Coturnix japonica: one gene and its partner. The protein of the gene in region 1 binds, or shares a complex with, the protein of each later gene. Links are inferred from orthologs where the notes say so. Each region holds a gene or a part of one and is shown on either strand. Other genes may lie near its edges.

Region 1 (5,252 bases):
CATGTAAGAAAATACACATTATGGGAAAGCAACAAATTTAATCTTCTCATTTGCTACATAAATATTAAAAGCATCCTACCATGCCTAGAGTTCTTGCTGCTCTTGGGACTCCTGACACAAAATCTGCAATACAAAACAAGACACCCATATAACATCCAGTTCCAAAGCATAATGTCTTCACTTAAACAGGGTAGCTCATTCCTTTGCATTATATCATTTGTTCTACACCCCTTTTTCCCAAGTTTTGCCCGGTGTATCACTATATATTTTTTTTAACAGAAAGAAGAATCTTACCCTCTATGCCATCACCACTGAAGTCTCCGACAGCCACAGAATAACCTGATTAAAAGAAAAAAAAAAAAAAAAAAGGGAGACTTCAGCCACGTAACTGTGCCATTTTACTTTAAATGCAAAGACCTTAAGAGACTTTAAATACCACTCTGATTAACACAAAGCTTCTCTTTGAATGTCACATTCTTTATTCTCCACCTACCACGCTATGAGTTGCTGGTTCAGTTCAGATTCAGAGAAAAAGTACTAGCAATGTTATTCACAGAAAAACAGCGTATTTGCCAATACTGATCTCCTCTCCAACTAAGATATTTTGTAACAGGTAACCCAGAGATTACACAAACAGCTGGCCATTTGCAACTGGAGATTGTGCGATGACACACCCATCTACATACATCCGTGCCGATCTTTATTAGAAGCATAATGAATTTTTCTGCATTGCGATAACTTTCCTCCTTACTATCTAGTATGTAAATTATAGTCACTTCTGCATGCAAAAACAAGAACATCAATTTTAATCCCTTTCTCTCTGCAAATGCATTAAGAATATAAATGGATTTACAGAGATTGTTTGAAGGAACCAAAAAAAGATGGGGGCTTGCTCATCACTAAACCCATAATGACTGCAGACACAAGCAATAGTTGGTTGAAAGCTAAAACAAGCTTAAAACTTAATGAGCAAGAAAAAGCACGAACCCTAGATACTGCAGTTTTCCATATGGTTACTCCTATTCTAGGAAAACTTAATCTACATACCTGAAATAGTTATCGAAAGAAATTACATACAAGGAAGATGAGCGTTCTAACATTAACTGGGTATTTTAGAACCAGTGCCTAGACAACGTCCATATGCAACCTGCCTATTTTTCTAAACCCAGTTAGGCATGCATAAAGCTTAATGATAACTTTTTACTTGTCAAAAGCTATCTTTTACTTAGCTTTCTTTCCAAACATGATTCTATCCCAATTTATTTTTGTTTTGGTATGCTATTTAGAAACAACTGCTTTTGTAAAATAAACAGCTATGTAAGTAACTTGTCAGGTAAAGATCATCCCTGATAAGTTATCTGAGGCCTAAGTTACAGGGCACCAAAACAAATGGAAATAGACCGATTCACTTTGTCATCAGCTGGTTTCTGAGTCAAGATAATAGCAAGATAACTAAGCTTCTTTCAAATATGAATTACAGCATTTTCAGCTCTTTTTCTGACTGCCAAATTTTAAATTAAAACCGTGGTCTATACTTGAATAGAAAAAACACAAATAGCACAAGAGGTTTTCTATTTAAGAACAACAAGTTTTACTTCCCATTCCAGTTACATACCCAAGTAGCTGTCATCAAAAGCAGCACTAGCAGGTCGGGTTGCTAACTGGTCATCATATTTTGTACTGTAGACTTTGGAGTCATATTTAGCCACAATCTCAGTCACTCGATCAGAAATGAGTTGGCCTAAAAACAAAGAAAACGGCTTAAAACACATGTGCACACCCTGAGTAAACAAGACAAATTTATGCGATGCTTATGAAGCAATAGCTCTTCCTTAATACTAATCAGAGAACAGCCAACACTAGATAGCAGCACTAGACAACAGCAGCAGCACTAGATAGGAGAATTTAGCTTACTACAGTTGTTTACTGCTATGCTACTAACAAGCTAGTGCTTTACTGCCTTCCTCCTGTTCTCATTTCACTAGCCACTAGATGGTGACTTGATCACATCGCTTTCTTGGAGTTTAAAATTACACTATATTGCAAAACATTTTGTTCCAGGAGAGCACTGACTTCATATACACATTCCCCAGGTATGCATGCAGTGCAGGGACAACTCCTCTTCCTTCACCTCTGAAAGTGGGGGGAAAAAAACAGTTTATACAAGTACACTATTGCTATCATCTATTCAGAGCTGAGATTGTCATTTCATATTAACAGAAGAGATTAAATAGTTTTAACAGATGAATTAGCAGCTTGGCCAGAAAGCAATAAGGTGAATATAGGAACATAATCTATATTCTGTCTGCAGCTGAATGTCAATCATTTCATTTTGTTTGGACTTTATAACACAGATCTAGAAAAAAGCCTCCTGTGATGCCAAGTCTACACATAGCCTGGCATTACACAAAAAGTTTTTAATAAATGCTGTTATGTACATTAAAATAAAAGAAACAGATGGTGGAAATTCTGTTCTGATTCTAACAACCATCTTCTGAACTGAGGGCTATAGGTAAACACCGTATGAACCTGCAAACAAGTGCTCACTGAAGCCCACATAAACAAAACACATAGGTGGTGTTCCCTGGAAACAAATCACCGCAGTTATGACTCGTACCACAGTGCAAACAGACTATTGCAAATAAATACATTATATCTTTGCCTTCAAGGGAAAATAACAATAGTTCTTCGTAAAGTACATTACTCGTGGAAAATGCATGCTTGATATTTGTGTGAGGAAAAAACCAAAACCTATAAATTTTAAAAAAAGCAGCAAAAAACCAAAGAATGCTTCTCCTGGGAACACTACTTACGTGATCCCATTAAAAAATACTTAAAGTTACCACACAGCTATTTAAAAGACAAAATTCATCTAATCAGTTATTATTTCAGCTTCAATCTGTTGCCTTGATAACTCCGGAATTATTTTGAACGAAGTCAGTAAACAGTTTCTGTTAGCTGTCTTACTGACAAAGACTTGGACAGCAGTTGCAGGAGGGTGGATACAGAGAAAATTAAAAAGGTCATCCTATTCTGTAACTTCAACAGTGTATCTTACCTTGCCAGTAAAAACTGCCAGGTCCTCCAAGCAAGACTCTGTCTCCCTTGTGGGGGGGGGGGAAAGAGGGAGGGGGGAATAATATTCAAACAAATTAATTCTTAAGACTGAATGAACATATCCCATATTCATGGGATCCAAATAACCACATGAAAATAAACTGTAAATAAACCATGTGTAAATAAACAGTAGCTAGACTGCCCCCTCCCCCCCTTAGATTTTTTGAAGGAGCAATTGATTAATCCTAATAAAGAATGTATGTACTGTAGAAAACTAAGGTAAACCACAACATCAGTTACTTGCTTCATTATATCATCCATCTAAAATTAACAGCATAACTTAGCTTTTTGCTGTAGTAGAACTTTATATCCACAAAAGGGAACAGAAATACACGTAGGATAGAGTATAAAGACTGCTGAAAACCAATAATACAGTTTCTGGCCAGTACACAAAACTAGACTCATCTTCTCCCCCTCCTCTTTCTATTACTTTTTGTTAGAAAAACACAATTCAGAAAACCTATGATGTAATTCCCTCAATCCATAATCCTTTGTAGAACTGCAATCCACAAATCATTTCATGCAACTTGAACCATATTAGCTATCTCAGTGCTGGGAATTAGTTCCCTAAGTACTTCACTCAATTGAGTCATTTGCTTCACCACCTAACTAAGCCACTTATTCTCATTCTACTCAAAAAACTCCAATATTCACCACTCAGAGCAAACTAGGTCAGAGATTTGGAGATACCAGTCTTGCCAACTCAGCTAGGGAGGTGGACTGGAGCCCAGCATTTGTTTTAAAAATGGCTAGAGTCTGCACAGTAGTCCTGAAGGACACAGGCCAAATAACAGAAACACTTCTGGGCCAGTATTACTCTTTCCACAGTCTGTGGAATAACAAGGGTGTGCTCAGGCAAAGTACAAAGGGATACTACACAGTTGTAAGGTGTGAAAAACCCAGCAGATGACCACATCACAAATGGGTATTAACAGGCCGAGATAATACTAAACAACTTAACTGATAAAACCATGATGATAAAAATATAACTGTAGATAGTTCTGAGATTGACGCACAGTTCTATTGTGAGTGGACTTGAGAAATTATTGCTAATTAAAATATAGAGATATTACACCATAGAAAAAAAATATAAGAAAAACAGCAACAAAAGGAAGCCCATTTCTCCTAGTCACTGAGACAAAACTCCACTCTAAGAGCACTGTCTACCGGTTCCCTTCTGCAGTAATTTACTTTTCCTCAACAAGTAGCATTAGCCGTGCACTAGTCCTTCCAGTAAAAAAGCGTATAACTGCATTTACCTGAGTACTGCTGCAGCAGGGCCTTATAGTATGAGACTGGAAAACTGGGTTGTTTATTTTTGACATGACTCCTAGAAGTCATGTCAAAAGTACACTTAGAAGTGCTAAGTGTACTGTTGTGAAGGTGTAGGGAGAAACATATTTATGCTACTGGAATGGTTTAAACGGATTGTTCTTAGTTTACAAGGAGTTCATTGTTTTCTTTCTCTCCCCTTCCTGCCCAGGAATGGTGGTTTACATGAAGTTTCATAACGTCTGTGCTTGCAGACAGACTTAATCACAGCGGTAGTTAAACTGGAAGTGTCTGCTGACTAACAGGAACTAAGTAACAATCACATACCTTTGTAAAGTCAATACTAAATCCACCTTGACAGAATCCTTGCCCATCTGCATCAATAGTGGCTAAGGAATAGATAGAAAAGGGGGGGAAAAAAAAAAAAAAAAAAAAAAAAAGAAAAATCTTAGTTTAGTCTTAAATTAATTAATCTTAATTTAACTTAATTAAACTTGGTTAATCTTAAATTATCAGGAAGAAAGGTTGCTAGTTTAATTCAAGAAATCGTGGAAAATATGTAAGAAAGTTTGCTTCTTTTAAGGAAAAAAAAATCTGCTATGTAAATAACCATAGAATATTTGAAGTATTGCCTTAAAAGAACTAGCACACATCTGGTTGAAAAAATCCCCATGTATTGAGACTCATCCACGCCTAGCTTAATCTTATGACCATTTAGCTGCATAACAGAAATGGGGGGAGATATGAACCTAGGAGTGTGACTAACTCACGTTCATACATTCTTATTTAATGCCTTTGTTAGACCACAATGGATTTCAATCCAGCTGCTCACCAGTGACTTGGAAAAAAAATAAAAACTGCAA
Region 2 (5,787 bases), on another chromosome or scaffold:
CATGCAGTCTTCAAGCTGCCTTCCCTACTTTCTTCAGCAATAATGTGTCCAGAATTACATAATAACCCTACCTTCCTGGTACACCAAAAGTATACTTATTGCTCCTCTAGTAAACTTAGTAAACTGTCCACCTCCTTTCTTTTCCCACAATCACACCATCTCAAGCATCTGTAGCACAGAAACACTGTAAATGGTAGATGTGCAACCACCATTTCATTCAACTTGCAAAAAACATAAAATAACTACTGCAAAACAAACAAACAAACAAACAAAACAGAGACATGTATGAATTTGCAACAAGTGGTGAGAACTGTGCAAACTACAAAGTAAATTTATGCATAATTGGCATAATATATTCCTTAGGCAACATGCAGGTAAGTAAACCTCTTCCTTACTATTCATCAGGAGCGTAATCTACTGCCAAAAATGATCTTATAACCTTAGGGAGCAGATCACCTACACAGGCTCAGGAAATTTAAAATGGGTTTTCTCTTCTCCTTGGATTGCTTTAAGACTTAGGAAAATCAGAACTGTCTCAAAGCTGAATACCCCATACAATAAAGCTTTCACTGGGGCCCTAAATAGAAATAGGCACAAAAATCAACAGACAGACACATAGTTAAAGCTACCAAGACTTACAGTTTATTTCAGATTGTTTGTTTGTTTGATTGGGGGAGTGAGGGGGGGGAGGGGAGAGGATGGAGGGAGACATTTCCTAACCACCTCCTCAGAAACAGTTCTTTCATGTGTGGTTTGAATGGCTTTTTCTACTCCATTGAGAAGTGATACAGTAATGATTAATGAAACTTTATATCTAGAAGGAGTACACATGAGAATCTGATGTGTCAAGGCTGGCAAACTACCAAAGAACAAGATAAGAGAACAGCAGTGGATTATGTTTGGCAACAGATGTCATCCTATTTGGATAAATCAATTAACAGTTGTCTCTGCTATCATCACAGATCTTCTGCTTCCCCCAAAACCCCATCTGGTCTTTCCAAAAGATACTATAAAGAAGACTTAAAATGCCAACCTTCAAATGTCATGAGATTCGTCAACCATGACTGTGCAAAAGAACTGTCATGTGACTGTTCTTCAGTTCTTTAATCGAGGCTAAAGATCGTCATGCCATCCAACCTCAGAGTGCACATCACATGTAAGCTCTGCTTACTTGAGTTTCATGGAGGAATAACTAATCCAGATAGTTTTGAAAGCACCAAGCATCTTAGTATTAAAGTTTCAATGTATGTAAAAACTGCTTTTTTTTTTTTTTTTTTTTTTTCTTAGATTATGCTGGGATTTTAATCAATGTCCTCTGTTAACCTGGACTAATCAGTCATTCTACATCATTTTAGCCCTGTGCGCTCTATATGTTAATACAGCAGATGCAAGACTTGCATGAGGTTAGCTTTGGAAAGAGCCAAGTGAGCAGACTCTGTCTGCACGTAAGTGGAGTAGTTATACAACCGATTAACACAATGCACACACGTGCTCTCACTGTAGAATTCAGCTTCTATTCACTTCGCTGGTTTAGTTCTTTAGGATTTCGTCAGTTTTCAGTGTTCCATCATAAATACGAGATCTGTGTAAATCACTATAACACAAATTTAGTTTTGAATTAGTTCCATTCTTATGTCAGGTACTTGTTTTAGTTGGCTTAGTGAACTGTAAATTCCCTTCGGTAAGACTTAGTGAACAAGGGACTCTTTGTGGAAGGGAACAACACTAACCTTTTATCTGAGCTTACAGAACCTTTAATTTGGGACTTGCAATTTATAGTGTTGGGAGATTTTCTTCTGCACTCCTCTTAGCAGCAAACTGGGGGCCATGCTCCGTCTTTACTTACACCCAAGCAGGAACTCACATCTCAAACTGTACTTTGCAGAACAAGCACTTCAGGTAGCATTAAACTGTACATTTTTCAATTAGAAGACTAAGAAAAGCTTCAACAAGAATGAATACATTTCAGTTCCATGAATGTTTCATATTCATTCCAGTTCCTTTTAGAACTGGAGATTTGGTGCAAGAAATTCTGCCAAATGTGCACATAAATAATCTGAAGTCTCTGATGGCATGGGAACAGTGCGATGCTCTTCTCCATGCCCAGTGCTGTCAAGGCAGAAGCACGGAGTAGTGGCTGCTTCAACGAAGCTGTGCTGCCAAATAGTTGTACATGGAGCCGCTGCCCAGCGCTTTGCTAACAGCAGCCTGCAGAAGTTCAAGGAATTCAGGTGGTGCTGTGCTGGTGCAGAGAGCTAACGCAGCCAAAAGCAAAATGAACAGACAAGGCAATACATTAAAAAATAACAACAAGCCTCCAAACCTCTACCATTTATGTGTTCACTCGAGGAAAAACAAAATGCTCTTCTTGGTTAGACCATAAAGTGATTAAGGAGGAAAGGAAGAATTCAGTGCAACTTTCAGCTTTCACAGATTAGCAGTAGTTTCAAATACAGGGGAAGAGAGCAAGATCTATCAGAGCTTGCAGACTGCCGGACATGGAAGCTGTTGTCACAATAAACAAGTATCCCACAACTTACCACCCATGTGCATTTTCACTGTCAAGCACAATAAAGGAAGCAAGCATCTTGTGGAGCAAAAGCCCCCCCACAGTCTTCACCTATGCCGTGCTGTTCTCATCCTTATTTGCATTATTGTGCACCCAGGAGCAAGCAGACCAGACTGTGCACTAAGGCACAGAGCTCTCCTCTCCATAAAGTTTCAATTAGTCTTCAAACTCAATTACACTGCATAGAAAAGAATCTGGAATGCTGGATAAAGCTGTCATGTTTCATAAGACATTTAATAATATTATATTTTATTTTTTCCTATTGACATTTATTTTGGTTTTGAGCTCTAACTATGAAGCCAAAAGAGCAAAATAAATTATTCTGTAAAACTCAACAAATTATTCCATTGTTTTTAAAAGCACTGGGCAAATCCCACTGAATTAGGCATGAATTTGTCACATATGTAGGGAGGAACTTAAGACTAATGCATTGTTCCCATTACAAATCTTATTTTTAAAGGTTACAAGTTAATATTTTAAATTAAATCCAGGCTTAAGCACGGAATATGCACTTAGTCCACAAAGGGAAAGGAAAGAAAGGGAAGGTGGCTGGGGACTTGATCTGCCTCTTGGTCCCTGCTGGTGGAGCCGGATCCTTGGAGAAACACGGGACTAACCTGAGAGCTGTCTGACACAAGAGGTGCGTCTGCACAGGATCCTCGGCCTAATCTGACGGCAGAGCTTTGAGAAGCCCGCCCGCAACTCGAAGCGTCCCCCACTCTTACCTGAGCTCCACAGCCAACAGCACCGCTGGTGCCAGCGGGCTGTCAGCGCGCCCCGATTGGAGCAGGTAGAGGAAAACAGTATCCCTGAACTTCATGCCTATGTTTAGTCCTCGCTGTCAAACCGAGCGCTTATCGTATCACCTACCAGCCCCGGGGCCGCAGCCCCTCCACCTCCCGGCTCCCCGCAGCCGTGCCGTGCCGGTAGCTCCGGCAGAGCCGGACGCGAGCTCCGATCCGGCCCTCCCATACCCCTCCGTAGGTACCCACCGCCCCACCTGCCCGTAGCCGCCCGGCCATCCCCTCGGCCCCGCAGCGGCCGTCCCGCTCGGGCAGGGCACGGCGAACAGTTCGGCAACTTACGGCGCTGGCAGAGTCCGGGCACGGCCGCTAGCAGCCGGACCGCCCCGAGGAGAGCCCCGGGGCCGCGCTGGCACTTGGGCACGGAGACGATCCCCGCGGTGAGGCACGCCAGCAGCGGCACCCACATCATGCGGCGCCGATCCCGCTGCCGCTCCCTCGCCCTCTCCTCGGGGCCGCGGCTCGGCGGCGCGGCGCGCTCAGTCCCGGCCCCCGCGGGGGCGGCGGCGGCGGCGGCGGCGGGGCCGGGGGAGGGGCGGCGGCGGCGGCGGGCCCGGCACAGGTAGGGCGCGGGGAGGCGGCGGGGCGGGCGCGGAGCGCAGCATCTCAGGGGCAGCGCCCGCCGCGCCCCCGCACCCCGCCGAGGGCGGCTCCCTCCCAGCAGCAGCGGCGGCTGCAGGGCCTCGGGCGTACGCGGAGAGCGGCCGCCTCCATCTGCCTCCAGCCCGGCGCGCAACAGGCTCCCGGTCGCCCGCTCCGTCCGGCCGCGGGGAGGAGGCACCGGGCGCAGCGCGGGGCCGAGCGGCGGGAGCGCGGCCGCCCGCCCCGCACCTCCCTCAAGGAAACGCCCGCCCCCCGCCCGCCCCCGCTGCGCTCCCCCCTCCAGGTGGCCGCCGCCCGCCGCCGTCCCCAGCCCCGACCGGAGCCGCCGTCAGCACCCGCCGCGGGGCGGGGGAGCGGCGGTGGCCGGTGCCGCCCTGCCGCAGCTCGGGGCGCCGTCGGTGCGCGTCGGGAGCGCGGGTCCCCTCGTTGCTAGGAGACGGCAGCGGGGCAGGTTCGGAGTGGGGGCGGGCGGAGGCGGGGCGCTGAAGTCACTGCGGCCGCGCCGCTTTGTTCGGCCGCGGCTCCGTCGGCCGTAGTCGAGCCGCCGCCGCGGGGAGGCGGGCGCAGGCCGGGAGCGGGGGGCTGCGCTCCTGCCGGCGGGGAGCCCTCAGCCCGCGGCTCGGGAACGGCCCCTCGGCCTCCCCTTAGTCGCTCATCTCGTCCTCCCCGATTTCTGTTCGGAGTTTCCGCCCCACGGGGCGAAGTGGGAGTAACGCAAAGGTTAAGAGGCACGGAAAGTACCTCGCCGTGTGCGGGTCAGGAAAGCCCCGCCGAGCATAGGTGCGAGCGGCCCATCAGCAGTGACATCGCGTTCTTCTCTGGGCTCTGCTGCCCGGGCTATGGGCGGTGTGCAGGCAGGTGGCAGTGCCTCCTCTGTCACCCTTTGGGGCTGTGGCTGATTTACAAGCCCCGAGTGCAGAGCCAGCCATAGCTATCACTGTGGCCTCACTTCATTTATGGTGCTTCTGAAGAGATGTCAGAGCGTGCGCAATGTTAAGTAATATCCGGGGGAGGCATCCAGGGTAATAACAATGTTAATAAATCATTCACGTGCAGCCACGCAGTCTCACAGTTCTTACAAATAAAAGGCCATCACAGTGTTTTGAGGCCCAGTGCTAAGCCTCGCAGCACTGAGATAAAGGCAGTTTATCACAGGCACATCAAAGGTCAGAAAGTGAAGGTGCACTGGGTTTCTTCAAGGTCTCTGTGGAAGAGATGACAACGGAGCACTCCTGTGGTCCCACTCCTGGCATTTTTGAATGCTGTTTCATTCTTCTGCCTCGTTTTGGAGAAATCCTTAATTTTAGACATTAATTTGGAATGTCATTAATTCAAGTTGCCCGACCCCACTGGGGTTATCATCTCTGAGAAAATAAAAACCACACACAGGGATGGTCACACGACTTCAAATGTGATCCTGATCTAAAAGCTCCGTGATTTCCCAGATTACAATTTTTAGATACTATTTGGTGATGAGCAACTTGTCCCACGAGATGCTGTTCTTTGAAATGAGGTACATTTGTGACAGGCAAACTAAACTCAATTTACTTCTGTTCAGCGCTATGCTATCTAAATCCCATCTCATCATGTTGAAAATTCATGTTGATTCAAATGCATCTGGAAAGGAACCAAGACGAGAGAGAAATTCAAGGAAGTGTCTTAAAAATCCAAGCAGAAGCAAAAGTTGCAGAAAGAAAACTTAGGGATTTTTGCTTGCAGAGGCTAAATAGTGTTGTTAGGAGGAAGAATACACCTAATACTCCATTATATTCTGTATATATTTGTCAGACTAGAATTAAAATTACTAGCAAG

The links. The genes of interacting proteins can lie anywhere in the genome.
Region 2: the proteins of ITGAV (region 1) and ITGB8 are in contact, whole or in part, in a cryo-EM structure (PDB 8TCF), measured with the Homo sapiens proteins. The link is inferred for Coturnix japonica from reciprocal best matches to the Homo sapiens genes ITGAV and ITGB8. Residues at the interface, in NP_002201.2 of Homo sapiens: Tyr48, Phe51, Trp123, Leu141, His143, Gln150, Glu151, Arg152, Pro154, Phe184, Gln186, Phe189, Pro204, Trp209, Asp249, Tyr251, Tyr254, Arg275, Arg278, Thr279, Gln301, Met302, Ala303, Tyr305, Phe308, Pro328, Leu329, Met331, Ser335, Asp336; in NP_002205.1 of Homo sapiens: Ser197, Pro198, Ile202, His203, Pro204, Arg206, Ile250, Asp251, Thr252, Pro253, Thr287, Ser288, His289, Leu290, Ala291, Leu292, Asp293, Lys295, Leu296, Gly298, Val300, Pro302, Glu321, Ser324, Leu325, Gly326, Gln327, Glu330, His349, Trp350.

The regions. Positions count from the first base shown.
Region 1 is NC_029522.1:5,342,425-5,347,676, forward strand, and holds part of ITGAV (integrin alpha-V), read right to left. Parts: intron 4,779-5,252; coding exon 4,717-4,778; intron 3,105-4,716; coding exon 3,059-3,104; intron 1,742-3,058; coding exon 1,616-1,741; intron 340-1,615; coding exon 295-339; intron 124-294; coding exon 80-123; intron 1-79.
Region 2 is NC_029517.1:27,579,795-27,585,581, reverse strand, and holds the start of ITGB8 (integrin beta-8), read right to left. Parts: upstream 3,856-5,787; 5' UTR 3,785-3,855; coding exon 3,655-3,784; intron 1-3,654. UniProt on the Homo sapiens protein: Integrin alpha-V:beta-8 (ITGAV:ITGB8) is a receptor for fibronectin. It recognizes the sequence R-G-D in its ligands.